Styela clava: one gene and its partners. The protein of the gene in region 1 binds, or shares a complex with, the protein of each later gene. Links are inferred from orthologs where the notes say so. Each region holds a gene or a part of one and is shown in the gene's direction. Other genes may lie near its edges.

Region 1 (10,013 bases):
TGTTGTTATACATGTGAATGAATAAATTAAAGGTCAAGTAAGAGTGAAATGTTTGTTGGACACGTAGTGGACATAGCGATCGTTTCAATATTATGTTGTTGTTGTTCTTATTGTTGGACACGTAGTGGACATAGCGATCGTTTCAATATTATGTTGTTGTTGTTCTTATTGTTGTTCCTAGTGTCCTTGTTCTTTGACACGTTTTGAAGAAATCGTTTTTCTCTTCGGATACTGGACCAATTGCTTTGAAATTTTCAGTGGTTAAAGATAAAATTTTTCTTCAGAAGGCTATTACTTTTTTTCAAGCTATGACGTTATCAAAATTATTCCCACTGGGTGGCGCTACGTGTCCATATATTTGAGCACAGCTCTCTTGTTGTTCTTAGTGTCCTTGTTCTTTGACACGTTTTGAAGAAATCGCCTTTCTCTTCGAATACTGGACCAATTGCTTTGAAATTTTCAGTGGTTGAAGATATAATTTTTCTTCAGAAGGCTATTACTTTTATTCATTTTAAATATTTCTGTTAGCTCTGTGAGATTTGTTTGTGTTTGCTATGACGTCATTAAACGTTCTGCGGACATCGGACGCCAGTTTGTGTCCTACTGTACTGCTTCGCTTGGTGTGAATATATTTGTAGACTGTGATCTGACGGTACGGTAAACCGTACTGTACTGCGAGCAGACGTGTCCATATATTTGGGCGTAGCTCTCTTGTTATTAGTATAACCGTAGTAGTATATATTTACGGTATACTACCGTGTTTTCCCGAAAAATAGACCTACCCCGAAAATAATACCTAGCCTGAATTTCACGAATTATTTTAATATAAGCCCTCCCCTTAAAATAGGACCTAGTCAATAACGCGAAATTTTTACGACCTAGTCTATAGAAAGAAATCTCTCTTACATGTTTTAAATGCTTAATAATCTATGTTTTGCAGATATTTTGAATCAAAACGTGTTATTCGTAAGTAATTGGATATCGGTTTTTATATTTTGCATATTTTAAAATATCGTAATCCGTTGTACTTTGTTATTTTATTTTTGACAAATTAAAATATAAAACATCCCTTGAATAGAAGCCTTAGTGTTATTTTTAGGAAGAGAATTGAAATAAGACACTGTCTTATTTTCGGGGAAACACGGTACTACGGCGGTATAACAAACTCAGACCTATAACGTGCTGCCCGGCGCGGCTGCCCCTGTTCCAACCCCCGCGAGTAGGAAAATAAAACGTTCTAGATAGCTTGATTTAGGTCAAAATGTTCATATCATTATCAGTCACAAAAATGCCTGGGCTGGTCTAATCTCAACTAATTTAAACCGCGTAGTGGTTTTTGGAAAGCTTAGTCATGTCTCAAACATCCCTTTGGGTAAGGTTTCGTAACGCTTTGAGATTGAGCCTTGAGCGAATATTTATGCCAAGTTTCATTCATTACAGGTGTTGAAAAAATTAAGCAAACTTCGAAATGTTAATGTAGTTAATGTCGAGTTATTTATAGCAGTGTACAACATTTGTAATATAATAATCTTATTTTACAGGTTTGGTCTATTTTATTGTGAAAGTGCGTCTAAACTAGTGATTGTCAAACTTTAATGCGCCTGCGGATAAAGTTTTTTTTTTTATCAATTCTAAAAAAACATCATGTTTTAAAACAAGGGCTTGTTTTAAACCTAATTTATTCTGTATATTATGTTTTTTCAATTAATGAAATTCCCCTGGCTGGCATCGCCGTGAAACTACGTCAAAATGGTGCGTTTTGACAGCTACGCATGTTGCCGGAATAACAATTTCGAATATGTAAGATATATGTTTATCCGAGATACCATGGAGACGCTTCGAATAAAAAAGGCAAGAAAAATTATGAAATATAGCTCACGGGCCTACTACAATACGAAAACAGTTAGATCAGGGACCCGCTCACCGCCTAAAAATTGGGCAAAACAAGTGCGTTAATACGATAAAGGATAATACACTTTGCTCGGCATCAACCTTCGCATTTTCGAACGAATGAAGGCCGGATTCAGACGATGAGACAAACTGGGGCTAGGCTTTGTGACAAGAACAGCGCAACTGTGTCATAATATGACTATTTCGGTTTATGTATTATGTATCATCATAATTATGTACATCACGGTTACATTTTTAAATTGCGTGAATTACAAAATTTGGTTTGAAGCCCCTCGGCTTCAGCCTACCGTGTCTTATGATATATCCGGCCCTGCTTCGAATCCCATGAGCGATGTGCAAGAAGATTGCTAGTATCGTCGCAGTGCGGTTCACGCAATAACTTATCGGTTGCGTCTTCTTCTACTAACCACGTCATGGGACGCATTGCGCTACAGCTTGAAAATGCATGTACGGGCAAGTCATCGATATTCGTGGTGGTGTTCGAAGGGTTTATTGCGAATAAGAAGCGATTGGCAAGTTTTCTGTGTTAGCTTTAACCCATTTAATACTAAAAAATCAAATAACACAGCCATTTAAAACAAAACAGGTAAAAAAGCATGATTTTAAGCAATTGATTTGAAACAATTCTTTTCTAACAAATCCCTACCTGCGGACCCCTTATGCTTCCCTGAAGTAACCCCGGACGCCCACAATTTTCAAACCGAAAACACAATAGAAGAACATAGCATAGAGCTATTCGGACAACATTTAAATTAGCTGCCACTCCTCGCGTACGCAAATAGCTTAATTTATCTCATATGATCTTGCACATCAAGTTTGTTCCTTGCTTTCGTCTTGATTTGAACAAGTGTAGAAAACCCACGCTCACATAAGTAAGTGGAGACGAAAGGGATAATGATTTTAAATGCGTTATAAGTGACGTTATGCTCACAACTACTTGTTTTTGTGCGAATTTTCGTTTTCCGCTTTTTTAAAAACTACTGCAAAAAGTGCAGATGTAATTGAAAAAATATCAGCATTTTTTGATACAGGAGACCTGAATTGGGATAAATTTTTCTCGTATTTTCGGCGCCCCTATCATTTCCTCGCGGACTCCAGTTTGAGAACCACAAGTCTAAACATTTTTTCATGCGTTGCGTTTTTTGTGAACCTTCCCAAATTCTCGGCCTTCTGTCAGTGTTCAATTTCGATTTCATGATTATATTCTACCGAAGGGTTTAAAATATACTGTATATACGTAACTTATAAGAATGCAACATTCAAGGCTCACAGAAAAAATAGCAGTGATTTTATGGTTTCTTACGGGCCGAAAAATCAAGGGACGCGAGATGCTCGAAGGACCTTAAAGCTTACTGTGATCCGAGAAAGGTTTTTGTACAGCGTTTCAACGCAGACGATTCAACATCTGAATAGTCCATTCATTCAGCAGCATCTGAATTCATTCATTAAAATGCGGTGTTCAAAACCTGATTTTATTTGATTCGCGGAATGACTGTGCAAACCGAGCCGGGCCGAAAAATCAAGGGACGCGAGATGCTTGAAGGACCTTAAAGCTGACTGTGATCCGAGAAAGGTATTTGTACAGCGTTTTAACGCAGACGATTCAACATCTGAATAGTCCATTCATTCAGCAGCATCTGAATTCATTCATTAAAATGCGGTGTTCAAAACCTGATTTTATTTGATTCGCGGAATGACTGTGCAAAATGAGCTTTAGTTGAAACTAAGTTTAAGTACAACTAATAAAAATGAAGGCAGTTTTTCAAAGGCGAGTGAAACAGTAGAAAAATGTAAGCAAGGAATAGTCAACGTGGAACCACAGAGAAAGACCCTCTCTTTCACATACCTAAATCATATTCTCTCAAGCTCCCTTTGGTTAACTGGTGTCATAGTGTAGCGGGCTCTAGTGGTGAATTATGCAAAACACTGAAACTTCATTAATATTTAAAACTTAAAAGCTTTAATTTCCTTTTCATCTGGCGGAAAGAAAATTACTGGAAAACCAAGTCATAAAAGTGTCAAAAATGAAAACAATTAAGATAAAAGGTCAAGAATTATCACTTGATGGCGCGTTGTCCTAACGACGGACGATAACCAGCGCTGTTGAGGATTCGTTATCATCAAGCTTGTACTCAGTTTGCTTCGCTCTGGCTGCGCTTGTGCATTGACGTTTTGTTTTACGGGGAAATACAGCTGGTACCGGTTGACTATGTTTTTAATAGATTACTTGAGATTTCAGTATCGTATACTTTGGGATGATTTAATTGTATTTCTTATCCTAAATTTTTAACACGAGAATCGAAGAAACCCGAATTAACGTTACTGCGTTTTGTAATACCTTTTTCTGTTTTATCTGTAAATTGGTTCGATTACTGGATGGTTAAGGTAATTGAGATAAGCTTGCGAAACTAAAATATTCAACGAGTGCTCTACCTGAATACTGTAGTGTAAAATTGTATTTCAAGGTTTATGCACTTTCAGACCACAAAATGGCATATCGTTATCTGTATATGGAGCCACTCTGGATACAGGGATATCATGGCCTTTCTTCATGAGAAATTTAACACAGATCACAATAACTAGTATGTACTATCCAACTTTTAACTTCTGCGGCGGAGTACGGTAGTCTACACCATATTTCGGACATCCCACGACTAGACTATATACAGATATATAAACAATATATATTTTTGAATCGCATATACAGGAAACAAATGGTTGGGTTATATTTATTACTTATTTCAGGCTTATAGACATTGTTTCCATATAAGGTCTATGATTTGCGAATATCAGTGACATTACGCAGCAATGTGGTTCAATTATCTAAATTCCACCTGAATGTTCTGCGTCAGGGCGTTGATATACAAATGCAAGTTTGAAGATACTGGTAACGAAGTCAGTTTATACTGTTAGAATTTGTCAGCACCGTTTATCAGTGGCTGTTTCATTACACCACCCTTCAGACTGTCAGTTATACTGAGCGAACAATCACAATTTTCCCAACATGCAAGATGGATTTCGCTCGAATGCATTTTCAGGAAGCGCTAGCGCCCACGGATGTGGTTTCAGGTTCATATATTGCTTCGTTAATTATTTTAAAATAATAACATACAAATGCATGTTGATTTATAGGGCATTTGGGCATATTTGCCACAGGGCCAGCATACTTAGGTAACCCGTCGGCACTGGTACAATGCAATTATTAGTTATGTAGAACTCTAACCCAAAGGTAACTATGTCTTTAAGTCCATAATCTAAAACAAATAACTGACAAACTAATCCCATACCTGACATGGACAGGTAACCGAAAGACAGACCGTGGTATGTCATTAAGCTGTTTCATCAACTTTCCTCTCCCCGGGATAAATATGAAAATCCTATCTTATAAATCCACATGTGGCCCATTTATATGCTATAATGATTAAACTACTCCCAATGCAGCTGAAAAACAAACTCATTACCATCTTAGGTCACCCTCTGCGCTGGAAAGCTGTGTACTGCAGACAGTATTGAAATGCATTATGCAGTTGCATGTTTTACCCTCATTTGTCAACAAACCTAAAACGGCGCATAGGCCATAAGTGTATATTATTTGTTGGAACAGTCAAATGACACTGAAGGTCCTAGAGTGATTGTGATACACGCGAGCATAATATCAAGATCATATCAATATCAAGCACATCTGCATGTTGATGTTATCATCGTAGAAAAATTCTTCCCAAATATTATCATTCCAAAATTTCATGCTTTATTTTTTAGTGTCTCTGCAAGTTGCCATGTGGAAAATTAGTTCATATCTTCAAAATCTTTATTTCGTTTCAAAATATTCAAGCAGCTGCCATAATATAAAGTTCTGACAATAAATTTTGTTTTGCTCCAGTCTAGCTATTTTTTATATTATTTAGATATCATATTTTATTTAAATTTCAGAAATATCGGTGAAAACTCTCATATGAAGAATATTTTTACTGTATTTCGTTTTTCTTACCTGACTAGAGTAGGAAATTATGCTTAATTTATTTCAATTCTACATATCAATATTCGGTTCCCAAGTGCCAGATAGTTACCCCGACCTCGGTTTGGTTTGTACAAATAGTATAGATATATGGTTCTGCCTCGTTTCGGTTCTCGAATCTAGTTCTTTAATAATCGTGAAATATCCCAATTTTATGAGAATTCACTTTTAAGTAAGATTTAGGGTCTGAGCATATGGATATTGCAGAACAACTAATCCTATTCAATCAGTTGCGATAAAATTCAGGTAAACCTATATTTTTCTTGTTAAATTTCAGATAAATATTAAAAAAATATTTAGGATGGGTGTTGATTACTATTCTGTGTTGGGTGTCACTCGTAATGCTACAGATAGTGACATCAAAAAAGCTTATCGCAAACTAGCTTTGAAATTTCACCCAGATAAAAACAAAGAGCCAGGTGCATCAGAAAAATTCAAGCAAATAGCAGAAGCGTATGATGTTCTGGCTGATAATAAGAAGAGAGCTACCTATGATCAGTTTGGTGAAGAAGGCTTGAAAGGTGGAATTCCATCGGATAGAGGGGGATTTACCAATGGGTATACTTTTCATGGCAATGCGGAAAAAGTTTTCAGAGACTTTTTTGGAGGTTCAAATCCATTCGCTGATTTGCTAGGAGAACCTGATATAATGAATGCATTTGGAGGAATTCATGGGAGAGGGAGAAAGAAGCAAGATTCACCTATTGAAAGAGAACTTCATTTGACATTAGAGGAAATCTATCATGGATGTACGAAAAAAATGAAAATCTCACGGAGGGTTATGAATGAAGATGGGCACACTTCTAGCATTCGAGACAAAATCCTCACCATCAACGTTCGTCCTGGATGGAAAGCAGGAACCAAGATCACTTTTCCACAAGAAGGGGATCAAGGTCCAAACAATATTCCGGCTGATATAGTTTTTGTCGTTCAGGACAGGCCCCACACTTTATTCAAACGAAGAGGTAATGATTTGGTATATGTTGCAAAGATACCACTCGGAAAAGCACTTATCGGGTGCAGCATTGAAGTACCCACACTCGATGGCAGATTTTTGAACATACCAATCAATGACATCGTTCATCCAAAATATGAAAAAGTTGTACCCAAGGAAGGAATGCCTTTTTCTAAAAGACCATCAGAACGAGGGAATATGGTGATTGAGTTTGATATTCAATTTCCAGAAAAGTTGACCCCAGAAAAGAAACAACTTATACGGCAAGCACTTCTGGTTTAAATTTTACTGAACTCTTAACACAATTTTTCACATGCTTGTATATAATAGTTTATATATTAGTTATACGTATTGTACAATTTCTAGTGTTTCATTTTTGTTGTATGACATTCATCTTCATCTGCTTATGAGTACATAAGACACCAGTTCTTTCAGTTTAATAGTTGTTTGTTTTCTCAATGTGGCACAAGATCAAATCGTACCCACTTTGTAGCTGATTGAGCCAGTTAGAACTGCATACCTAACATATATGCATGGTTGTTTTTGTGAGAGAAATACTATTCTTGCATTGGAATAACTTTTAAGATTTGTAATTCCTTTTTAGGTTTGTTTGTTGACACATTGTAAAAGTCAAATGATAACTTGAATTTTTGTGGCACAGGAATTGTTAGTCCAAAAATTATATTACTGGTAAGAATTCTTCTCAGTAATCAAAAATATTTAGCTTAAACTTCAAATTAAATTCGAAACTACTGTATTTCACTGTAACATTTGACTTTTTAAACATTTATATTCAAAATGAGACTACATAAATTCCAAAGTGCCAAACTATACTAACCCGGACATTTTTATGTCTCATGTTCAACGCGAAAGTCAGAGAGACATTCAAACGTCACGGCCTGGATTTTATAAGAAATCTTTGTAACGTTGTAGCATGATGGGGCTACAATTTTATGCAGAAAAAGTAAAGAAATTCTAGGAGACTGATGTTATTTCCATCGCATATTTTAAACAGACGGCCTATACTGTCTGCGGCAATTTGCTCAATGTAAAGTTTCGTCTTGCCGCAGTAGATATTGCAAACGCTAACATTTCAATCCATCCGCACATACCAATCTGTCTCCGGAGATGTTATCTATATTTGACTTTGCCTTCAGAGGTTTCATTTAAAAGGAAATCGGACTCTGAGGAATACATGAGTTGCAATTAAGGTGGTGGCATTTCGATACTTTTTGCCATGCTGATACTCACCTATAAGTCTGACACGCCTCATCGCTAATAGCTTTGCTGTTTTATCACGGTAGTCATCTCATAATCTGATCGTTCACACACAATGAGAAACATGTTTCATCAATAACTCACCAGAAAGAAAAGAGTCATATCCAATTGTACATGATAGGATTGGGTAATTATTATTGAAAATATAAAGAATAATTCGAAAAAAAGAAGGAATGTAATCAAGCATAAACAGTGATGAATGACATCGAAAAAAGATTCGGCGTAAATTGTCGCATGCATAAATTACAAAAGGATTAGGGACGTCATATTGGACAGTTTTATGGTATTGAATTTTTACAGTTGAAAAAATGATTTTCCCATCGCTCAATTTTTTTTTTATTGAGAAAGCGACACGCATATAATAATCTCAGGTTAATTTTAATTCCGCAAGAAACATATTTCTAGTTCACTTTAATTTGCTTTAAAAGCTTTTCGCGGATGGACTCATATTCAAAGACAACCATTCGTAGATGTTGCCTCGGTAGTTGAATAATGTCCCTTGAAACCGCACGAATGTCGTATATTGTGATAAATTGGTATTTCCAACATTTTTCTTCTTTGTTTCGAGAAGTTTTTTTCCGCTTTTCCTCATGACCGTTCAATATCGCGGGAGTGATGGAAGATAGTACAGTTTTTCTGTGCAGATGGAAGTATTGAATTTCCCCGATTGTTTTAATTGGTTGTCGATATTTGACAGACTCCACAGAAACTGCCATTTGTAACCCAACTTCTTGCAAAAATACAGTTGATGTATCACCCGTGCTTGGCGTACGTAATGTTGAGTTTTCATCAACGATTGACTGGGAAATATGCCACATGCTTTTTGTTATTTCCGCATAATTGCTGTAAAAAATGACCGTTTTGGATTTTAAATGAAGTTGAATAAATGACGATTCATCTCTTACGACATTGTTGGGACACAATACCAGAGATGACATCGCAAAGTTCCATTTACATGTAGGTGAAGTAGAGTCGCCGTTTGTCAAACGACTGAGTTTTTTCCGTAAATACTCAATTATTCTTCGGAAAAGGCTCATCTCGGGTGAAAGGTTTTTGCATTTGATATTTAAACTGCAAAACGAATATAGTAATATCAAAGAACTATAGCACTGTACAAATAATTTCGTTAGTAGCCTACTGGATGCGGTCCGATAGGCTATTTCAGTGGTCGGCAACCATCAGACCTGTTGTTGCAGAGATCGTACCGGGGGTCGGCAGCCTACGGCCCGCCGGTCTGATCCGGCCCGCGTAGTAATTTAATCCGGCCCGCGACGCTTCACTGAATTTGAATTATAGTAATAAAACAGCTGTTTGACGATTATATTCTTTACGTAACAGACTAAACTATATCATAACCTGACAAGTATATAATTCACAATTACTCGTTTAATGAGCCTATAATTTAATTATTATTAGACAAATGGCAACAAAATGCAGTAAAGTTGAGGCTAAGTGCAAAGGGTTCAATGACGCCGAAATTATTCAAATGAAATTTTTTGAGATAAAATGCAATGAGGAAATAAATCTATATTCTATTCGAGAGATGTATCACTGCTTGATTTTTATTATAAAAATTATCATCCGTCCGGTTTTCAACTTTCTAAAAATACGGGCGTCCCGCCAATGACTTGCAACCCCTAATTTTGGCCCGCGAGCGACAAGAGGTTGCCGATAGGGATGTAAGTTTCGAATATTTTTTTTTTCGAATCGAATACCGAATATTTTTTTTTCGAATCGAATATTTCCGAATCGATTCTGATTAATACAACATCACTTTTTCTTTGACTTTATTCAACACACACAAGGTTATTTTTCAGTAAACACGCATATTAATACATGCACGCATAATAATGT
Region 2 (10,971 bases), about 16 Mb from region 1:
TCTTCCGCCTCCAAGTCCATGCATCCGAAACAAACAACGGGTCAAAAATTCCCATACTTGAACATGAGCAAGTAACCTAAACCTAACGAGAGGTCGTGATGCGCCATATAATTAAGCTTCTGCTTCCCCAGACATGCGTATGCAATTCTCGTGAAACCCAAATCACAGCGTAACAACTATACTGAAACTTCCGTGATTTGATGGCTTGACACATGTTCAAATTGATTCCAATTCATTTATTTTGCAGCGTCTCCACTGACAAATGTAATTATATAGATTAGTAACCCGAACTCTCGCAATCTACGCTTCCGTCCACAGAATACTGCAACAGATTTTACATTAGTTCCTTGTATGACGCGGTTAACGCGGTTACGTTTATATCGAAGATTGCAGGGATTAGAGCATGTAATAAATTGGATAGGCAATACCGAACCGGGAATAAATTCATGTTCTACCAAATAAAAGTCGCTCCGTAGTTATAGTGAGTTATCAGTGGCTGCTTGTACGGGGACTTTTTCGAAGCGGAAGGCGCGAATAAGTGTCATCTACAAAAATCCAACTTCATATCTGCTTACTTGTACAAGGTCGCTGGTCGATTGTGGCTTCCCCCTTCCAGGCATAAATATGAAATTCCTGTTCTATACTGATTACAGCGTATGAACTATACTCACACTTCCGTGATTGATGGTTTGACTAATGTTCAAATGGATTCCAATTCCATTTTGTTTTTGCAGTGTTTCCACTGACAAATGTAATTATACAGATCAGTAACCCGATATGTCACGATGTTCGCTCCCGTCCAAAAGAATTTACAGCAGTTCCTGGTTTGATGCTCATCTCAATAACAAAAATCAAAACAATGTATTACGCGATTTATTCCAGCATGAACTCGATCATTTGTCGATGGATCCTCTGTTACCGGTAGTTATTTGGTGCTCCCGAAGTATGTGCACCAAGATGGTATGTGCACACAACCTGAACATATGTGTACCAGGTTAGGGTTATCAGGTTGTGCGACAATACTTCTTGGAGCACCAGTTATTTTAGGCCAAAGACGGATATCCCATGATTCCAGAATGAAATCGGTAATTTTTAAATCAACAGAGTATTTGATGGAGTTCCTTAAAGTTTAGTTAAAATAACGAAAGATTGGCCTTTTATTGTAGATGATGGCCGGTAGCCCAGTGGGTAAATCATTGGAATAAACTTCTTTGGCATAGCGGCTTGTACACTTATTGGGTTTAAATTCCACGTCCGACACCTCGTCTAGGGTGTAATAAGTTGGGTAGACCAGGGGTATGCAACCTTCAATTCAGGAGGGCCAGATACAAATATAACAATATAAATTTTGATGTTTCAGCTAAAAAATAGCTCAAGGTATTTGTTGAGATTTTTAGTAATAACAAGGCAACCGTGATGTCAGAATATATTAATAATTTAAATTTGCTAATTTCCAATATCTACATGAGTTCTGTGATTGTCGTACTGGTGTTTTATATCACGGTCTGTCAAATCGTGGTCTTCGTGAGGAAAGGCATTTATAAAACATGGAGTGGAAGCTTGAAAGAGGTTTTCAAACCAGCAAATCTGCGCTTTAGTATGAATGCAACTCTTATCATCGCTGGGGTATTTGGAGTTGCCGCGGCTGTCTGTTCTTGTGCCTTGATTGCCTACAAGCTGGCCGTTGCGCCCGATAACATGGAAATTAGCGTGGTCGGATGTAGTTTTATTACTGATCCTATTGTGGAGTCTAACTGCAAAACATTCACGATAGTTGCAACGATGCTCGACATGGTATTATGGCTTCGACAAACATTGTTTTACAAGGAACCCACGGTGAAACGCCTCTCATCCAAGCATTTAAGAAGGTTCAGATATTTTCAAGGATGTTTTATAGTTGTATTCCGCATTGGTACAACCGTATTAGCAATATCCCTCCGACTTCTATTCTCTGCTGAAGTCATGCTGTCGGCTTTTTCAGTGATACTGGGAGCTCAACTTGAAATACAAATAGCATTGCTTGTTTTATTTTTAATCCCGTTAATTAGACATAAACGTAGATTAAGATATCTTCGACAAAATGAAAGATTCTCCGATGATCTCAGACACCTTATGAAAAGAGCAATCGCAGCGACGATTGTATCCTTGCTATCAGATATACTTGTAGTTGTCATTGTAATCGGAGCGAATCTATCATTTCATTCTTTTGGTGCATTGGTAAACATATCATGCATTCTATTTTGTTTTGCCGACTGGAGAGAAAGATTTCTTCCGTGCCTGCCGCTTTGTAAAAACAATAACCAAGAAGCCGAACAGGCTACTCCTGATGGCGACATAGCCGAAGAAGCTGTATGAAATATACTGGGATCTTATGTAATTCAAGTGCAACAAACAGTGCCAGTGGTTTTCAACCTTTTTATCGGAATCCCAAAGAAACACCCGTTAGACTCGAAGAACCGTTGCAATATTCAAATTTATTTTTACTTCCCGAATTAAACATAAATATTTATTTAAACAAATCTAGGCTGACAAAACAAAATTATCTTTAATCTGAAAGCTTTGGCAAGCCAAACAGGTATGTGGGTACTCCTGAAGTATGCGCACCAAGATGTCGCATAACCTGAACCCCAACCTGCACCATCTTGGTGCACATTCTTTAGGAGGTCCGGTATTTGATTAGGATATATTTGAACAATATAAAATGATAATACAGACGCTAGGATTTGGATGTAATTTGAGGGACCTCTGCACTGCGCTGACGGAACCATATGGTGCCGCGGAAACGCTGGCGATATTAATTTCTACTGTTATAGGAACTGTACGGGGGTGTTGAGGCGGAGTAAACTCGTTTGACTCTGGATGGACTATTGGGATTTTCATACCAGTCGTGAGGAATGTGGTTCAAGAATTAGAAAATCTGAACTACGAAAACATTGTTGTAACTGATCAAACATTTTTTGTATAGACATTAAAGTTCTTCCTATTTTTCCTTTTTTTATATGTCTTTTACAATTGCTTATGCACTATGCAGATTACTTTTTAGTCATTATTGGTGTTGTCTACCTTTTAAATATATCTTTGTTTACGTCATATACGACGAGGCATTATTATAGTTAGGATTCATCCTTTCAGAGGTGTCATTTCGAGATGATTTGTTTTTTCGCTGTTTCATTTACCCTGAAATTCCATTGCCATTCCATTGTGATTTAAAAAAAACTATGCTCGGGGATCGTTGCCATTTCATTTCGATTTTAAAAAAAAAACTATGCATACTGATTAACTCGGTGTCTTTGCAGTTAACGGTAGGGTGACCATACATCCTCCTTTTAGAGGATTTGTCCTACTTTTTCGTTAAAAAATTTATGTCCTCCGAGGACGCTCTGAAACGTCAAAATGTCCTCCTTTTTCAAGGGATTAAATATCTAAAATTCTGTTATGATATAATCTACCGTTTTCGATGTGTTAAGAAAATTTTAAACCAAGTAGAGACTTGTAATTATCATTAGACATATGACAAGCAATAAATTGCGTTGTGATAGCATATCATACGGGGTTACTCTACTAGGAGTCTAGATTAAATGCATACGCTAATTGTTATACATACTCGTTTATGACGTAAAAAGTGGATTGTTCTGCAATTATGTTTTACGTCATTTCACCTTATATTTGGCAATGGTAAAATTTCGATTTCGCCAATAAATTACATCAGTAACTTCAGTAAATTTTGCAAAACAGAAAAGCCTTTTTTTACCCAGGAACCAAAGCAAGAGTATCCATGATTTAGAAAAGGTCGAACTGATAGCGAAATGGGGTGCATTACTTGCGGCTACGCTACGGTACTTGCTACTGGCGAATGAAGACAAGCTCAGCTTACAGTTGCACGTTGATCATTTGCAGTCGTTTCTTGCTGTGTTTAATGAACAAATAAGGGATAGTGATTATTCAGGGGCTTTCATTATTAAAATCAAAGCTTGTCTTAATGCTGTTAAATTTACGATTGAAGAAAGAAACAAATATTCATACAATCCCAAATCTGAATTGCGTAGACTTCAAGCCATTTTTACGATATTGCAAAAAATTACGCGGCAGTGTTGACAAAGATTAAAGGAAAAGCCAAATACTCATGATCCAAGGACAAATAAATTGATTCTTCTATAGATGTTTTTTCAATAAAGGCAAAAATGCATTATTTCATTTTCGTCACCTCTATATTTAGTCCTAGAGAATTTAGTAGATGTATAATCTCAGGCACATGTGAAATAAGGTTCTACTAATGTTAAGATATCGATGGTTCTACCAAACGATGTGTCCTCCTTTTAGGATTTGGAAATATGGTCACCCTAGTTAACGGGGATTGTTGCCATGGAATGGGTCATTCCATTTCGATTTAAAAAAACTATGCATACTGATTAACTCGGTGCTTTTGCAGTTCGCGGGGATCTTTAGGAGCAATTCCGTTTGCCGGTGGTATTAACGAACGCTACTGATAGCGAATCAAGGACATCGCCGCAGAAATTGTTACCAGACGCAAGCTTTTTCTTGGATTATTTCTCGTGCGGATATTAAAATGGTGGAACACGAGCCTGTGTGCGACTGAATATCACGAATTTGCGCGATTTCTCGTTAAGTACAAAGCTATTTCAACCCCGATGCTTGCCTATGTATATTGATTGCTAAAGAAGAGCTAATATAATATTTCGAACGTTCTCCAGAGCGCTTAAATGCAACAGGTATGTAGTATTAATAACAGGCATTTCAGACTACTTTTAAGTTGGTTGTGAGCCTAATAGATAGGATTTTAAATTCAAGTACTTCATTAAAAAATATGTTTAATTCTGATTTTAAAATGGTATGTCGGTCAGTAGCGTTCTGTGAGAATATCTCAAGCGCAAACCTCATTTGAAGTTTTAACAACATTCCCAATTTCGCTACGTGTGTCTGTTTTGTTATACTGTGTAATTATTGTGCAGATACTCTTACAAATTTGAGGCAAATAAACATACATTGTATGTCGTTGTTGTTTTGTACCGCTGCGTTCAAAAAGAAAAAAATTACCTATCGATCTGTCAGCCAACGACGTTGTATTTTAAACACATAGTTACTCAGTACCTGCTCAGTACTGAGCCATGAGCCATCGACGGCGTTTATTTAGTCATTCCAGACGAGCGACGAAAATAGAAACAAGTGCACTTGTGTGTAAATGAGGTCAAAGTCCGTTTAAAACCGCCGTACACGGCAAACGTGTCTCGATAAGCATAGCTGTAGCGTGTAGAAAGAATTTCATTAGTCTCTCGAAAGACAGGTTTGGTGTGCGCATCCGCGTTAAGTCGTCAATGCCGGAAGCGATTGTATTTTACATATAATGTCATTCAGAAGATATCCGTTCAAATAAAATGAACGTCCAGAAACTGTGCAATAGATTCGATACGAGTGTTCCCAAATTATATCGTTTTTATTCGACCCGCAGACACCAATTCAACGGTTGTCATGGTCACCCTGATAACTCGCGGGACTTGCCTGTGCGCGAAGCTCGTCGTTTCTCGACGGTAGGGTCGGACTTTTTCGTTTAGCTTGTTTAGCTTTACATATTATTATAATATGACCTTGTCTAAATTCAGAAATATTAGCGCAGTAAGGAATTATTGAATTATTCTTTTATGGTTACTCGGCCTCGTAACCAAGGCCGATTTCTCGTAACCGTCACCCTGTTTTAAAACGCTGACATAACGATCAGCCTCACAACCCTCATAAAATATTTACATTGTGGTAGTCTGGGGTTAATGTTTCAACCGGAACTTTAGTATATAACGCTTGTCAGATAATGTAGTAGTTCTCTGGCATTTAGAATTCAGTACAGCATGAGTAATGTTTAAACATGGTTGCCCTGTCTTCCGTTTACTAGAAGTTGGCTAGGTATTTACAGATTAGGATTGTGAATGCAGTGAGATAATGCCAATATAGTCTTAATTTAGACCCGTAGGTGCCAGTTTTAAATTGCTCAAGGTAGTAAAAATTGAAATTTAGAGTCTGGTGTTTCGCAAATTACAGAATTAAGAATTTGGTTTCTAAACTTCACAGCTGAAAACTTGTATATAAGTAAAATATATTGTATTGTGAATTAGAATTAAGATGCCTCCTCCAGAAAATATGTATTGTGCTGAGCAAATTAATGTTCCACCTGAGCTACCGGATATTTTAAAGCAATTTACTAAAGCCGCAATCAGAACCCAACCTCCCGACGTACTTTCATGGTCGGCAGCATACTTTTCTGCTCTTTCTAGAGGAGAAGCACTCCCTGTGAAACGACGTTTGGAGCCAGGCGCGACTGGATTAACAATTGGCCTACTCGACATATTATATCAACAACTCCACGAAAAGGACATGATCGGGTCTGAACTCCTGGAACAAAAGTGGAAAGAACTTGGCCTTCCTAAAGAACAACTACAAGAGATAATGAGTGCTGGAAATTTCGTTGAAGAGATGGAATTCTTGAAATTCTTCGCAGTTGCATGCAGCCATCTTGGAGGAAAAAGCGTAACCCAAGCTATGAGAATCGTATGCCAAATCTTGACAGATGATCCTGATGGTGGCGCCTGCAGAATTTCATTCGATAGTTTCACCACTCTCTTTAAGTACCTTGCAAGTCTCAGCCGCGAAATTTCGCAAGCTCAAATAGATTCTGTTCTTGCTCATCTCAAAGATGACGTCGAAAAGCAAGCAGGAATGGTGATGCCAAGAAATTTCTTGAGCCCAGAATGCCCAAGTCTTGGATAATTATTTATACATTATTGATGTTGTATTATAATAAATAATTGTACAATTTTAATTTTTTTATGTTGAAGGGGTTTATTTTGTACTGTATGCTGCAAAACGGATAGAACTACATTCTTATAATTTCAAAAAGTTCCATACAATTGACTGTTTCATATTCTTGTACATTCAAATAACACACTGTTTTTATTTTTCTGCATTGATAACAAATTGTAGATAGGACCCGCAATGTCTATGTGTCCATAATATCTCAAATTCCGTAATTTTTATTGAAGTCATTTCATTACTTTAGCACATCTGCTTTTAAAAATTCGTCCTCTCCACTGTTTTATTTTTTCGCTTCACAGTTTTCTATAATTTCCAATGACAAACTTCTGAAACTGTTCTATTATGTCAAATTTGTTTTAAATTCATCTATTTGATGTATAAGCATATTTTCTTTGGAATATTTGAAAGTGTACAAATGACCCATTTTAGCTTGGAAGGCTTTTAGTACGGCGAATGTTGAACTTTGGAAACTATTGGAAATATTTAAAAAAATATGTGCTATATTTAAGATGATATCTATTCATAATTTGAAACAGTGTACACCGTTTGCCATTTTTTGTCGTTTTGGGTTGAAAATTTTTATAATAAATTATCCAATTTTAAGTCAATAATCTTATCGAAGAGTTCTATAAATTGGCGGTGTCCCACTCACTTATAATTTTATGTTCTAGCATTTATGATTTATATTTTCAACACTGTTCTGATTCGTGTATATTTTAGTTGACCACATTTGTGTATTTTTTTAGAACAAATTATCCCAGTTAAAATAGAATTATTCTCTATTAACAATGGATGCCAGTCCACCTATTATTCGTAAATTACCTCCTATGCCACAAGTCAGGCTTAAGAATGGATTAGTTATTTCAAGACTCATTAATGGAATGTGGCAAGTTTCCGGTGCACATGGAGACATTGATCCAAATAAGGCTGGTAAGTTTTTTCTGTTATTTTAGATTATTTTTTCTTCTGCTTTTTGAGAGTTTTATGCATTCAATAGTAAGTCTATTTCGTCAGACCAAAATCACAGAATAACATTTGTGAAAGTGTGATTGAATTTTGGAGCTATAGTTATCGGAATAATATATTTTTTCATATTTTCAATGTGTATTTAAATTAAACATACTTGCGCCTTACTGTCTGTTATTCGTATTTTGTTGTTAGCTAGTTGTTTCTGACTTGAGGCACGAGAAGAATTCCACAAAGGGGAAACACAGCTTAAAAGTTTTAGTTTTTTTTGTCACCTTATCACGCATTTAAATATGATTAAGAAGTCATAAATTATATATTTAGCTCAGAGATTTTGTATACCAAGATTCATTGTCTGGTACTCTCATTTTTTTTTCAGTGAACGCAATGCATAAATACTGTGAAGCGGGATATACCACTTTTGACATGGCTGATATCTACGGACCTGCAGAAATTATTTTTGGCAATTTTATTAAAAATGTGAGTGTATAGAAATTGACTGACTTTTGATAAAGGCCTATAAATTTTTTCTGTTTCTATAGAATGGTCTTTTACATTATTTGTTACCTTTATTGCTTGTCTTATTTGTGGATAGTAGACATAATATTATTCACCGGAAAATTTTTCAAATAGGAAGCTGAAGTATGCACATTTGTCAGCATTTTTTATTATTAAATCCGACTGCATTACACAAAAGAACCCTCTATTAATTAAGAGCCCATTTCACGCCTTCACTCACTCGGTACAAGGCTTTAGACGATTTATACGGTATACTGGTATAGAAGAAGCTAATATTAAGAAATGGCAAATATATATTTTACAATAGGGAGTCATGTGCTTATACTCTTTAGGGTTTTTATGTTAGTTTAATAAAGCATTTTTCACTTTTCTTCAATAGCCATACAAATTGGGCTTATTTTTGAAACATGAGAAAGACTAGCTAGATAAAACACTTCTGTCTATATTACTGGTGTATGTGGCAATGTCCCACACAGTATGGCACATTATTAAAAAAGGTTAATATATACTCTGTACATGTACGGTACTTATATATTTATACTTATATAAGCCTCCCTTGATAAGACAGATGGGAGTGGAAAGTACTATACTTCCCTTATTTGCCATTCAAATTAGAATAGGACTTATTTTTAAAAGTTGAATTTCAACTAGATAAAAATACCTTTGTCTGTATGTTTAACTAATCACATTACTGGTTTATGTGGCAACGTTAAAATATATTTTCGTCTGAAAAATGTCACAGTCTGACTGTATCCGGGGAATTAGTCTTCGGTTGTTGGAAATTTAAGTTCAGAAAAATAGTTTTTATCAACAAAGATTTGAAACCATTTTTTTAGTGCAGCTTTATATGTAATAACAATAGACCGTTGAATCACTTCGAATAAAAATCTGATAATATTCTAAATCAATTGAGATGAATTATTAATTGCAGTACCTAGTTAAGTAATAGGTAAAATACAACAAAAGGATAACGAAATGGTGAAATCAGACGATAAGATATAATGCAATATCCAGATAAGATGCATTTTTTTATGGTTTTTCTCAATTAAAGCTCCCATTAAATGCCTGCAGAGTTTCAAAGTACTTTATTTAAGTATAACTGTTAATCTGCTGATAACTACACTACCAGCATTTTTAAGTTTCATTATCGATACTGACTAGTTTTCGAGAACCCTATAATTACTAAGGAATTAGTTGAAGTTGTCTATACGGCTGTAGAAACCGTATTATTTCAATTACTGTATCATCATCATAATTACCCTACATCTTATGCAATATGATTTTGATAAATAACATGGAAATTTGAAACAGGTTTGGCAGAAACAGGAAAAAGGAATAGGATGAAGTTGTATATACGACTATTGATTATATACGTTTTTATATACTCAGTAGGGCCTATAATATGGAAAGCAAAACTTTTGTGCATATCTGCTTTGTAAAAAAACAATTGCTTTTGACTATGCTGTACTTATTCTCGTTGATTATTGTGTGAATCTGGGAATCTTGCTGACTTCCACGACCCTTGGTCGTACCGTCATATGCCGGTCATTACCAAAACCAATACCAAAATGAATGCATTGTAAATCTATTATTTCAATATATAAATCGGCCCGGCGGTGTGGCATATCGTGCTACACCTTTGATTACACTACTAGGGCTCGCAGGTTCCTCGCTGCCGTAGGGTGGTTCATGTAACTGCTGGTCAGCTATGGCTTCCTACACCATTAAGTACATGCTTCTGAAAACAAATAACTGGCTAACTAATATCAAACCCGACATGGACAGGTCACTGGACGAGAGATCGTGGTTCCCATCCCATATGATTCAGGTCGTCTTATCAGCTTCACAACCCCCTTTTTTAGTTCTGGATCAAATTTCAAAAACCGAATTGTTGTCTATTTAATTATAGGACTTATAATTCTAGAAAATCATTTTTTTATCAAAAGACATTTTGACTAAAACTTTTCCGACTCTATTTTCAGCGTCATTCGTTTCATCCAAAGAATTCTGTGCAAGCGTTTACGAAAATGGTTCCGAGTGCAGGTCCAATGACTCGGAATGTGGTCGAGTCAGCGATAACGAAGTCAATGTTACGTATGCAAGTCAAGCAATTAGACGGCCTACAGTTTCATTGGTGGGATTATAAAGACAAAAGATATCTGGACGCTTTGCAACATTTGTCTGATTTACAAAGGATTGGGAAAATTCGTGAGTCCTTTTCATAATCATAATTTTTTTTTTTTATATTCCTAGAAGTACTTTATTGTGTACTTATATGGAATAACCACGGTAAGCCTCTTAGTTAGGTCATTAATAATATATTTTGTAATACATGGGCATGGTGGCCAAGTAGCTTAAGCGTTTGATTTTAAGTTATGATGACTTTTGATGGCATTGCAGGTTCTAATCTTTGGTTCGAGTTCCCAACACTAGGGTGTTATATATCGGGTAGGGAATGGCGATCCTTTCCTGTTATGATAACTAGCATTGGCTATTTGTACAGAGCCTGTTCTGAATGAAATGCATATAAATTTGTCTTATAAAAAAAATTTGGGGCTCTCGTAGTATGTGGACCAAGATGGCGGACACCAGAACTTAGTATGTGTACCAGGTTAGGGTTAGGCTATAATTTTATTCCAATTTTCTCCATTTCAGTTCCATTACTAG
Region 3 (12,533 bases), on another chromosome or scaffold:
ACTAATTGACTGAATTTATAGGCCAGAGCCCGAAATTTCATATTCTATTTAGGAGTTCTTTGAATTGTCATTGCAAGAGTTTAGTACAGTATGTGTCATGTTGATGAGGTAACTTCTGTTTTTTTTGCAAACCACGGTCTCTCGTGGCCGAAACGCCTCATTTAAAAAAAAGTCAGCGATAGAGAAGCCCGACTCGAACGTAATGATTGACATTCCAGGCCCGAATTTCGGGCTCCTGTTTTTAGCTCTAATGGAAACCCATTTGATATTTAAAAAAATGAATAAAATTAATAGCGTTAACTATATTGAAGTGCTAAAAAAACTTGAAATTGATACTATTGGTTGTTAACTTGGCATAACAATTTCGCGCACGTATACATTAACTGCTTGTCTATGACTGCAGAGGAGAGAGATAGATTAGCTTATCATTAATTTATTTTGTGTTTAATCACTTCTGATAGTCACAGCAATAAATTAAAATTAAGCAAAATATTAAAATAAATAATTCTGAATATCAAATAAAATTCAATTTTTTAGAAAGAATTTTTCACAATGATAAAATAGAATCTGCATTTCTGGTCATGGATTGTCAGGTCTGATCTACTTGTAAGACTCTTCTCGCACAAAAAATCGATAGAGCATGTCCAGACAGAATAATCTCATTTCAAAGCTGCGGTACCAATGCCGCAGTAGTAAATCTCACAATGCATATTCATATAAATGTTTGCTACAATTTGTTGACAAATTTTACAGAGTTTGAAATTAATTGAATATTCTGTGAAGTTCAAAAAAAAAAAATTATATATTTAAGGCTTCAAACAGTATGAATATTGGCTTATAAATTTCAGTGTTGACATAACTGAGTGTTTGCATGTCATGGTTGGTTGAATATCAACTATTTTGCAGAGGTTGAAGTAAAAAATACTTATAAATTTGAAATTTAAATACGATTACGTGTACCGCTCTGGGGTGTGAACAATCCAAACCCCTATCTGCCTCCAACCCCCATTCCCTTTACCCCAGCAAGATTTTAATCTTTTAATCAAGATTTTAATCTTTCTAAAAATAGTTCCATGCATGTCCAAGCCTAGTTTAAGCAAGTTTTTTTTTTTGAAGGAAAAAATTCAAAAATAAATATTTCTTCAGCTAAGTTTGAGGCAAGATAAAACTTGTTTTAATGATTGGCAAGGTTAGAATTTCAGACACATGAAAACTAAAAAATTCTAATTTAGAGAATAATTAAATTTTGAATATGCTACTTATTTCTGAACTAGGTGATAAAGAAATAAAACCCATGGTTTCCAGAGCATTTAAATAATTACTAATAACAGACAAATTTTAAATAAAATAAGACCGGATAATTCTCTCCCTTAACCCTTTGGGTAACGCAACACAGAGATAAAATCTATATATATAGTATGATTTCGACAATAGCAAAAAAGTTAGACAGCATAAAGATAGAATTATTATCCCGATCCCAAAAATTGAGAACGAGTGGGGTTCGCTGGCGAGTTGTAAATGTCCCCAATCAAAATGTTTATTCATCTTGTCAAATAATGTTAAACGTCCTTAAACACCTTGGATTGGTAACAAGTTAAAATCCTGGTCTGTGATATTCAGAAGTTGTTCTACGAACTTCCTTACCCCAAGATAAATATAAAAAAAAATATATAAAGGGTTGAGTATGAGGACAAATCTGATCTAACCTACGTTTTTCCTGATCTCTGAATGTCTTCGAGAGTGACCGACAGTCCTACTCACTCATAGATATTAAAGAACTATAACTCGTCTTTTATCCCAGAGCTAGTGGCCGCACTTAGCGAAAAACACTTCAGAATATTGACTTTTTTCTGTAGTTTTTCTTTCTTATTTTTTGCAACGTTATCCCCCTCCAATATCGAAACCATGCGATCAATATTTTTCTGTACGAAATCTCGCCCTTTTCCGATCATGTTTTTAACGATCGAAATATACATTTCGCCATGTTCTTTTTCCTCTGCTGTATGGAAATTTTCTACGACATTTTGTAGTTCATTGAAAACGGCTTCTTGAGTATCTTTTTGCCTAGAAAATATGAAATAAGAACAAAATGTAATAAAATTTTTCAGTTACCGCCCAATAATATACAGGGTGTCCAAAAAGTTCCGCCCGATTTCATAACATTACCAATTGCAAATTTGAATAAATTTGGTCGTATGATAAATGGGGACTACAACATTTAACATCTCGAAAAAAAAAAAATTATTTCATTTGATTATAAAAAATTTATAACTGGGCGAAACTTTTTGGAAACCCTGTATGAATACCCACAAGCACTGAAAAAGTAATAATAAATAAAAATAGAAGAATTGCTGAAGAGTTAAGAAATGCGGAGAGATGTGTGCAACTTTTTGACCCAGAAGTTGTGCCAATGGATGGAGTTGGAGATAACTCAAAAAGGTCCAATGTAATTTAACATTCCTGACTCATTTTTTTGGAGGCTGATTACAAGGACTGTATTAAGCGAAGTTCTACAAACCCCCTAAATCCTGGTGGTAATGATTTAGATATACAAACCCTCCTAGTGATGACATAAATTTTTCCGCCAATGAGTCCAATCTTTCCAAGCATCCATCAAGACCCACGTAGATGCCGTTCTCTCGAAGAAATCTGACAATTTCAAAGTGAGTTGTGCCACCGGAGTGTGATATAGGACTGTCAAAATCACCTAAAAATTGAAATTTGAGTTTATGAGATAAGCGGCTCCATTTTGACTGGAAATTCACGTCCCAAGTTAACCATCTTAAACTGTTTAGTAGTCTTCTATAACTTTGCCCAGAGTTGAGTCTCCTTTACTTCTGAGTGAGTGCCTGTAACTTTGCTCGGGTATGAATCTTCTCCAATTCTTTGTGAGTGCACATAACTTTGGTCAGAAATGACTCTCCTTCACTTCTGAGTGAGTGCATGTGACTTTGCTCAGAGATGAGTCTCCATTACTTTCGAGTTAGTGCCCCTAACTTTGCCCAAAGACTCTTGAGTACTTATAATGCACCACCCTAAGTCTATTCTGTATCTCATAGCATTTCAGTCGCCGAAACTTTTCTCCAAGTCTCCATTACACAAGTGCAGTTTTAAGTATTCTGTGGCGTCTGCAGCTGCCGCAAAACCATGGCGGTATTTCCATACCATGGCCAAACCTATGGCGACTGACTTTTTAGCTGCCACAAACCAATGTCGAGCTGCCGTTACCGCGGCAGCAAATCGAAAACCAATGGCAGGTGAAATTTTGCTGCCGTAACCGCGGCAGGTGGGTCGTAAAGACCTTTATGGTGACAAATATTGGGTAAATTGGAACGTTTTTCTTATAGATACAGTTTTGATGGATTTGGGATTAGGGTTAGTGTTTAAGTAGATATAATTCCACATGATCAATTAGAATATGATACATTAATTTGTGAATATACTGTTAATACTGATTACTGAATAGCGCTATAAAACCATGGCAAGAGCTGCCGCGGTTCGTTCGTGGCAGGAGCTGCCATGAACTGATAAGAACTGCGCCTCCCTTTACACTTACCTTTGAAGAGTCTGTACTGAGGATAATTATCCTTCCTGATTCCATATCTATTGGCCAAGTCCTGATTTTCCTTTTCACCGTACTCTGCAAGGAATTCAATGATATGAGTATTCATTGTATCAAGCATATATATGCCATAAAACATGAGTGAGATAAATTCTCGCTTCTACTGACTTTTTCATGTTTTGAAAAGATATTAAACATAGGCTGCACATCTGTGTCAAGTCTTTGCATTAAATTGGGCAAGTTATGCCGAACCAAAATTATCAGCTCGTAAAAGCCATATTCAGTGGTATGTTTCTGATATCTAAGATGTTGGCTCTGGCTCAGCGGTGTGGCGCATCGTGCCATGTATTAGGAACACACACCACTGTAACCTCTGATTAACCTGCGTGGGTTCTCTGAATCCTGCGGGGAATAATTATATGTGAGAGGATTGCTGGACTCCTCGTCGCTGTAGGGTGGTTTCACGTAACTGCTAGTCAGTTACGACATCCTCCACCATCAAATCCTTGCATCCGAAAACAAATTACTGGCTAACTAATCCCATACCCGGCATTGACTCGTAACCGGACCAGCCATTTTATAGGCTTTCCTCTCCCCCGGGATAAATATGTGAATCCTACAGTGATTACCATTTATTCCAACTTCTGCAATGATGAAATCTTCAGTTTTCGAGCTGAGCGTTGCCAGTTTTCTGAATTCTTCCTGATGTTCTCCGTGTGGATAAGCGTTGTCAAATTTTATTAAAATTGATTTGAAAGACTTGACAACCTGGAAAGATACGGATGAGCAAATCGTTGGTTAAATGTTCCGAGTTTCCTTACGGATTGTTTTGGTCTAAACAAGACTCTGAACAAGCAGAAATTGATATGAAAGAAGCCACCATGCTTTGAAAAACAAGAATGTCTGTGTGGCACTGTATTCGAGGTAAAGGACATTTTAAAATGTCAAAACGAAAATGTCAAACTCAAACTTCAATTTATTATATTAATTGCAAGCTTATTGATAATTTAACAAATTTTTCATAATTCTTTCATATAATTCTTATGACTTTATTCTTTCACGCTCTTTTCAGCTAACTCTGTGCTTAGTCAAGATCGTATCATGCCAATGTGAGACATGTTCTTTTAATTTGAGCATCTCTTCTTAATAATTAATTAATTACTCAGCAAACAAAAATGTTTGATACACATTCAAAAATGGAGTGTTTCTTTTTAATAATGACTCAGCAAACAAAAATGTTTGATACATATTCAAAAATGGAGTGTTGTGTAGTTTCGTCCGAAATGGCTGCTGCGCCAACCATAAAGAACTCACTAACGGCAGTGATCTTTCGCATATCGAAATCATTGCAACGAAAAAAAAATTGAGAAGTAGCTTGCTCAATTTCGGGTGATCGCTTGTGCTGTTGTGTGTCTCGGATGAAACTTTGTATAGTTTCAAAGGCCTTATTACGTCGTACTGACGTAACTTTCAGATCACACAGTCAGGTGGGTGATTGATATATACAAAATTGGTTGGGTGCTCCCGCTACAAGTACTTGAAGTACGAGACCACACAAGACCCCAAAAATGCTCTTACCTTATCAAAGGTCATGCTATCCAGAGACAAAGCACCAGCCACTGCTAGTCCATTGACTTTTTGAAGACCAGTGGTTTGTAACAGGAGAATTGCGACAAAAACTGTAGAATATAGTGACATCATGTTGTGGCCTGTTTATTGGTATGAAAATTATTTCGAAAGTCAGAAACACCTTTTTCTCTCTGAAACATAAAATAGGTTGCATAAGATAGGTTTCATCCTAAAAAACATGTGCCAATTCTGTTGAGACACATTCCATTTCTGAATACAGGAATATGATTTAGATGTTTCTTTTTCCTATTCAATGCTACACTGATTTAACGATAACATTAGTTCAGTATTATAGTCTACGACTTCAATTGGAATTCAATTCTAATACTAATACCAAATTGCCACATTGACCACAAAAATTAGGGCATTTCTGCATTTGTAGAATTTTAAGCAATAATTGTAAGATATCCTAATTCAGTAGTCTAATTGTTAGCAAAAATCCTAAAAAACACCTTATCGCGCAATGGTCTATTGGTCCCTATTCTTTTTGGAGCCAATGCCTCATGGATTATAAGTATTATAAATAAAAACTCACCAAAATCCACTCGCGAGTAGAACACATTAAAAAGAACAGAAACATAACCGACATTATATAGAAACGTGTCGCAAAATGATTCGTCAAAGCACAGGTGCAAATTTCACACGCCGGCTTGTTTATATTCAACGTTACTCAAGCATGAATATTACGTCATATTCCGCTGAAATTTTCATGGTTTTTTAGAATCATTTATTATAAATTTCGAATTTTTGTTAAAAAATATATACATTACTTAAGATAGATATATACATGACGTGATAGTATAAAAGTTGTCAGAATTTTCAGAAGTATGGCTCAATTCAAATCATATAGGACATAAAAGTACATGAGTATTATGACTTTGTGCACTTGCATACATGTTTGTGACGACACTAGTCTGATTTTTTTTTATTGAATCACTATAATGATAAATTTTAATCATGATCATAATTAAATGTGTCAAAAAGGCTGAAATTTTTTTTGAGATTATGCCTTCGTGGGGCTTTTCTCGTACGCGACATTTTTGTTTTGATTAATTCCTTCATTGAAATGTTTATTAATTGTGTTTGCTTGTTATAGTTTGTTAGTTTTTGCCTCTCCACCAATTCTCCAACGTATTTTATTTCGAAATCTTATCTTTATTTAATTTTGCTCTGTTTATCATCTCGTAGGTCAGGATAAATTAGAAAAGGAGAAAATAACCATATTAGTCGTGATTACGTTACGAATAAAATGATAGTATATTATTATATAATTTAAATTATATGATTATTTTCATTCAATTAATTTTTTTTGTAAAAATATTTTACTGTTTCAAGAAGGACAAGACCCCCTTCACGCTTGGTCAGTTTTCGCTGTAGATAAATTCAGCGTTGCTATAGAGACCACTGTGAGTTTGTTGTTTTTACGTCACTCACGTTCGGTCTGAGCTAATCCGAATAGATCTAAGTTCGTATAATAGTGAGTTATTTTGAAGTTTAATAATTGAAAAAATGTCAGATGAATCAGATGTTGGAGAGGAAATCACGGAACCTCGCACTACAGAAGCTGAGGGGGACGAAAAACTCCCGGATAACCCTCTAATACAAGACGTCATACCAGAATGTCTTTCGTTGCTTTGCAAGATAGGAAGCGGGCTAACACACGCTTATGTGCGCTTGGATGTTCACGATAGAGACATAACAGATATACAATTATTGAAAAGTTTTATCCATGTTCGTTATGTGGATCTTTCAGGCAATTTTCTACGGGACATCACCCCGCTCAACCATCTGACAAATATGCTGACACTGAAGGCTGATAAAAACCAGCTCACCAGCCCAAAACTAGAAGCCTTACCGTTCCTGCAGATTGCAAACTTTGCCAACAACAAGATCACAAGCACAGAAGGTTAAAAAGCTTTTATGTTAATAATAAACTATCTATAGGCGGTGTGGCTCATTGTGCTTTAAGCGTTAGGAATACGCTCGTCACCACATCTCTGTTTACTCTACCTGGGTTTACAGATTCGAATGTCATGCGGGTATGATCATGTGCGAGAGGATTGCTGGATTCCTCGCCATCGTAGGCTGGTTCACGTAACCGCTGGTCGGTTACGGCTTCCTCCAACATCAAGTCCATTCTTTCGAAAACAAATACCTGGCTAATTGATTCCATATCTGACACGGACTGGTAATCGGATGAGTGGGTGTAGTTCACCATATGATAAAGCCATCTTATCGGCTTTTCACTCCCACGGGATAAATATGTAAATCTAAGAATTAAACTTGAACGAAATCACCCAGCACTTTGTTCATTCTTGAGTCCCTGAATATGTAAATAAATGAAAGTAAATTGAAAGGAATGCTTGACCACATGACGAGTGAAAAATATATTAGGAAATTTAATGAGTGATTTTTACAAAACACTCAGTGGTTTATCTTTATTGCATAATATAGTAGTATTGACATTTTCTAACTCATATGTTGGGTTGTCCAAAACGAATCGAATATTCGAATGTATTCGAATATCAAAGTATTCGAATACCTTTTCGGCTGATTTTCGAATAATTCCGAATAGTAGCCACTTTTCGCCGTAAACGTGGTGTTTCGTTTTACGGGAATATTCAAACGACTTTTTACGCTGTCTCACGTATTGTAATGACGATGAAATAGAATCGGCATTTTGATTGTTTATATTCTGTGCGACGGTACGTCGCATAGTGTTGCGACATATTTGCACGTTTGTGCGGGTGGACATTGCCGACATTCGTCTACAAGGCTTTTAATTTACAAATTCATTTTCATTACGTCAAAAATTCGTCCAATGAGTCGCTTTTCTAGGCGGGGTGGGGGCGTCTAATTGAGAAAGTATGTTTATTTTATTTCGATGTGGCCTGCTTTTTATTCGCATGAGTCTTCTCAAACATGATTTGTGTAACCTTATATTTGGGTCTTAGGGCCTGCCAATCATGATATTTAATCGCAGGCCGGTTATCGTTACTTTAAAGAGAAACACGGCCACCGAGATAAAGTGATTTGTGACCCTTTCGTTTTGCCGATTCAGCAGAACACGACAGGGACAGGAAAACACAGCTGTGAAATAACCCGTGGACGTACAGTGTAGTACTTATCACATTTCAAAATTATTTCAACATTCGGGTTAATAGGTTGTCCAAAATGATTGCCGCTTTACAACTTAAATTTACCGCTCATTTGTTAAATATAGTTAAATGATCTGGTTCTAAACATATAAAATTATTAGCGCATATTAGCATAACTGAACAACAGGGACACAATTTTTTTACCCGTCTTATTGGGGCCTATATGGAAAAACCCCTTTTTTGAGTGCTAAAAATAGACATCGTCCTATTTGCCATGTGGACTTATTAGCCGGGAAATACGGTATTCATAGCCGTAATTGTTACGTATCAAATAAATAGTCACAAGTTGGAAAAAAAAGTCGATTTATTAGAAAATAATTTCTGGCAAATAATTTTGATAACGATAGTTAAAAGTATCGATCCTTTACCAAGATGATTTTTGTTGCGCAAAATAATCCAATCCATGACTGGTAACAGCATTTATTAAAATGTCATGCTGTATTAATTTAATTCTGTTCAACGTAACTCATGGTTGTATCGACAATCTGTGGACATAAAATGTGTGGTGAACTGACCGATATTATAAAATATTGATTCCTATTTTCATATTGATAAAATAATGAAAGTATTAATACCAAATACCACGGGTATTTGTGGTCATGAAATATGTAGTAAACTGCCCAATTAGAATTAAATTCTGATTCGTATTTACAAAATAATAAAACTATATTTCTAAAATGCAACGGCGATCTGTGGCCTTAAAATGTGTGGTAAACTGCCCGATTTACCAACATTTGAGTTATGATAATAGAATTAAATTAACACGGTAAGGCATTTCAAATAGAGGTATCGGTCATGGATTCGAATATTTTGCGCAGCACAAAATCATCCTAGTAAAAAGTCCATACTTTTAAATACAAACCAATGGCAACCATTATCCAAATTAGTTCCCAAAATGCGGGATAAAGTATCAATTATTTTCCAACGTGTGACTATTTTTTCGTGAGTACGAAAATAAGAATTAAAAACTAATTATATTCGGCACAATATCATGGCGATCTGTGGACATAAATTGTGTGGCAAACTCGCGATTAATATTAATTTTTGATTCCTATTTTCGTATTTACAAAATACAACGGCGATCTGTGAACTTAGAATGTGTGATAAACTACCCGATTATAAATAGTTTTTGATTCCTATTTATAAAATAATAAAAGTATTATTACTCAAACATGCAACGGCGATCTGCGGACTTAAAATGTGTGGTATAGTTCCCGAATATAATTAATTTTTGATTCGCATTTTTGTACTCACAATAACCAAAATAACTCATACTTTATCCCGCTTATCGGCAAATAATTTGGATAATGGTTGGTGTTTAATTAAGAGTATGGCCGTTTCACTAGGATGATTTTGTGTTGCGCAAATATTCAAATCCATCACCGATACCACTGTTTAAAATGCCTTGCCGTATTAATTTAATTCTGTTAACATGACTCATGGTATATAAAATATATACTGGAATATGAAATGCCTGGTAATGAAGCTAGGTTGTAACTTCTAGATAGCAGTTATTCCATTGCTTATTGTATGGAAATTCCTACATACATTTAGATAAGCTTCAATTAGTGAATTTTATTTTCGAAGTATTCGAAATTTCATATTCGAAAAAAATAATTTCGAATGTATTCGAAATAGTGAACTATTCGGTATTGGCCATCCCTGGTATATGGTATGATTATTAGGACAAGTTTCAACTAGTTAACTATTCTTGTTGTATACCGTATTTCCCAGCTAATAGGTCGCTTTTCTAAACCCAATTTTGTGGCCTGATTTTGGAGGGGTCGTCTTATTGGGCAGGTGAGCTTGAAATATGATTTGTGTGAAACTTATATTTAGTTTAATATTTTTTATTATATACCCGATGACGCCAAAGGGTCTCCAATCATGATATTTAATTGGCTTTATACGGGTAGCTGTTATTTGTCATATTCTTTTTAAAAACTGCCATGTAGTAATAACTGGTTGGTGTCATGAAGCACTCCCTCCCCATTCACGTCCATCGTTATCGGTACTTTAAAGAAAAATACGGCCACGGAGATAAAGTGATATATGACCCTTCCGTTTTGCCGGTTCGACGAAAAACGACACAGACAGGAAAACACAGCTGTGAAATAAACCCATGGACGTACAGTGTACTCCTATCACACCTTATTTAGATGTTATTTCAGTGTTTGGGCTAATAGGTTGTTCAAAATGATTGCCGCTTTTTAACTTAAAATTAACGCTTTATTTAAAAAAATAGTTAATTCTGGGAGTATGATTCTACCAAATAAACATGATCTGGTTATAACCATATAAAATTATTATCGCATAATAGTGTTTAGCTGACCAACAGTAAAGCAAGTTTTCTACCCCGTCCTATTGGACGGCTATATGGAAAGACCCTCCTTTTGAGTGCCAAGAATTGACATTGTCTTATTTGCCGGGTAGACTTATTAGCCATGAAATATGGTAATTAAACTATGTAACTTGGAACCGGACGAGAGTCCATGGTTCGCTATATGATTAATCGGTCTTATCAGCTTTGACGATTCCATTCAATTTATTATTTATTCATGTTTTTACAGGAGTTGAGCATCCATTACTCGAGCAGTTAAACTTGAATTCGAATCAGATCACATCGATATCTGGACTTCACCCAGGAACTCTGACAAATCTTCATACCTTGGAATTGAGAGGAAATAAACTAGGTAACTAATAGTTGAATACCTCGGCCATACTAAGGATCAGGGGGGGGATATTGTTTAGGAATCAAATTGTCCCTTTTTTTAGAAGTGCAAAAAAAACAGTTTTTGTATCAGTTTTTGTCCTCGACTTATGACGTTGTTACGTTCTCGAGACGCGATGTAACCCGAATTTCAGTGTAAGTCGAAACATTATACTGTACAGTGCCCAAATTACTCTACACATATCGTACTGTATTGTAAAGTATGGTACTGTAATAAAATGTACAAATAATGCAAAAAAGTACTTTATTAAAAAAACAGAAAACAATTTCATATCACATTATGAATAAAAGCAAATACTGTACAGTACAGTATCATCTTTTATATTTTTAATGGGGTGCGTTCGTAACCTCGAAACATCGTAAGTCGCGACCGTCGTAACCCGAGGACTCCCTGTATAGCAATTTTTCGTAGCTCGAAACGCTGCTAGCTGGTACGGTCTAACCTGGTAATTAGAAAGCTAAGTAAAAACGGTGCAACGATTTTGCTATTTTTGCATTTATTTCCCTGCAATTTTCTTATGGGAGCACACATGATGTTGCCGATTTCAATGGAGTTTAAAAAATAAAACAGGTGTAGAAATGCTGGTACAGCGTCTTATTTAGAGAGTGACGCGCCTAATAAAAAGAAATATCACTCTAATACGATTTCCTCCACTATCAAGTCCATGCTTCCGAAAACAAATAACTAGCTAACTAATCCCATACTCGACATGAACTCGTAACCAGACGAGAGGCCATGGTTCGCCATATAATTAAGTCGTCTTATCCACTTTCGTCTCCCCGGGATAAATATGTAAATCCTATCCTAACATGGAATTTGCATTATATTCCAGAGTCTACAGCTGGGATATACCTTCCTAATCTAAAGAACCTTTATCTTGCTGCGAATATAATCAAGTCAATCGAAGGACTCGAACGTCTTGAGAAACTCACTCTTCTTCACCTTAGAGATAATCAGATCTCGACACTAGATGGCTTCTCAGATCAAATGAAGTCTCTCCAATATATTAACTTGAGGTGACTTGCTCTTTTTTTTGAGAAAATTGCTCATGAGCGCTAGAGCTAAAATGTGAGGCCTGAGCCCGACCCGGGCCTGAAATGTCAATCATTACGTTCGGGTCGGGCTTCTCCATCGCTGACTTTTTTTTTAAATAAGACGTCTTGGCCACGAGAGACCGTGGTTTGCAAAAATAAAACAGAAGTTGCCTCATCAACATGACACAGACTGTACTGAACTCTCGCAATGACAATTCAAAGAACTCCTTAATAAAATATGGAATTTTAGGTTTGCTTCGGGCTTAGACCCGCAAATTCAGTTAATTAGTCGGGCTCGGGTCGGGTTTAATACCCATGGGCCAGGGTCGGAATTTTTGGGCCCGATCTTACCTCTAATGTGCGCCCACTCAGAAGCAAGTGGAACCCATTTCATTCAGTAGTGAATTGGGTGATCTTC

What was found.
Region 2: dnaJ homolog subfamily B member 13-like (region 1) and ropporin-1-like protein share a complex: the UniProt entries of both Homo sapiens proteins name them as parts of the axonemal radial spoke complex. The link is inferred for Styela clava from reciprocal best matches to the Homo sapiens genes DNAJB13 and ROPN1L.
Region 3: dnaJ homolog subfamily B member 13-like (region 1) and leucine-rich repeat-containing protein 23-like share a complex: the UniProt entries of both Homo sapiens proteins name them as parts of the axonemal radial spoke complex. The link is inferred for Styela clava from reciprocal best matches to the Homo sapiens genes DNAJB13 and LRRC23.

The regions. Positions count from the first base shown.
Region 1 is NC_135258.1:21,470,447-21,480,459, forward strand, and holds dnaJ homolog subfamily B member 13-like, read left to right. Parts: upstream 1-6,204; 5' UTR 6,205-6,227; coding exon 6,228-7,163; 3' UTR 7,164-7,321; downstream 7,322-10,013. UniProt on the Homo sapiens protein: Functions as part of axonemal radial spoke complexes that play an important part in the motility of sperm and cilia.
Region 2 is NC_135258.1:5,479,128-5,490,098, forward strand, and holds ropporin-1-like protein, read left to right. Parts: upstream 1-6,033; 5' UTR 6,034-6,129; coding exon 6,130-6,774; 3' UTR 6,775-7,571; downstream 7,572-10,971. Other genes in the region: uncharacterized protein LOC120338783, read left to right, coding at 7,608-7,749, 8,165-8,265, 10,287-10,512. UniProt on the Homo sapiens protein: Functions as part of axonemal radial spoke complexes that play an important part in the motility of sperm and cilia. Important for male fertility.
Region 3 is NC_135264.1:17,882,009-17,894,541, reverse strand, and holds the start of leucine-rich repeat-containing protein 23-like, read left to right. Parts: upstream 1-6,589; 5' UTR 6,590-6,700; coding exon 6,701-7,097; intron 7,098-10,919; coding exon 10,920-11,042; intron 11,043-11,913; coding exon 11,914-12,097; intron 12,098-12,533. Other genes in the region: endoplasmic reticulum resident protein 29-like, read right to left, coding at 1,779-2,064, 2,557-2,707, 3,557-3,640, 4,192-4,330, 5,141-5,263. UniProt on the Homo sapiens protein: Essential for sperm motility and male fertility. Plays an important role in the proper assembly of the third radial spoke (RS3) head and the bridge structure between RS2 and RS3 in the sperm flagella.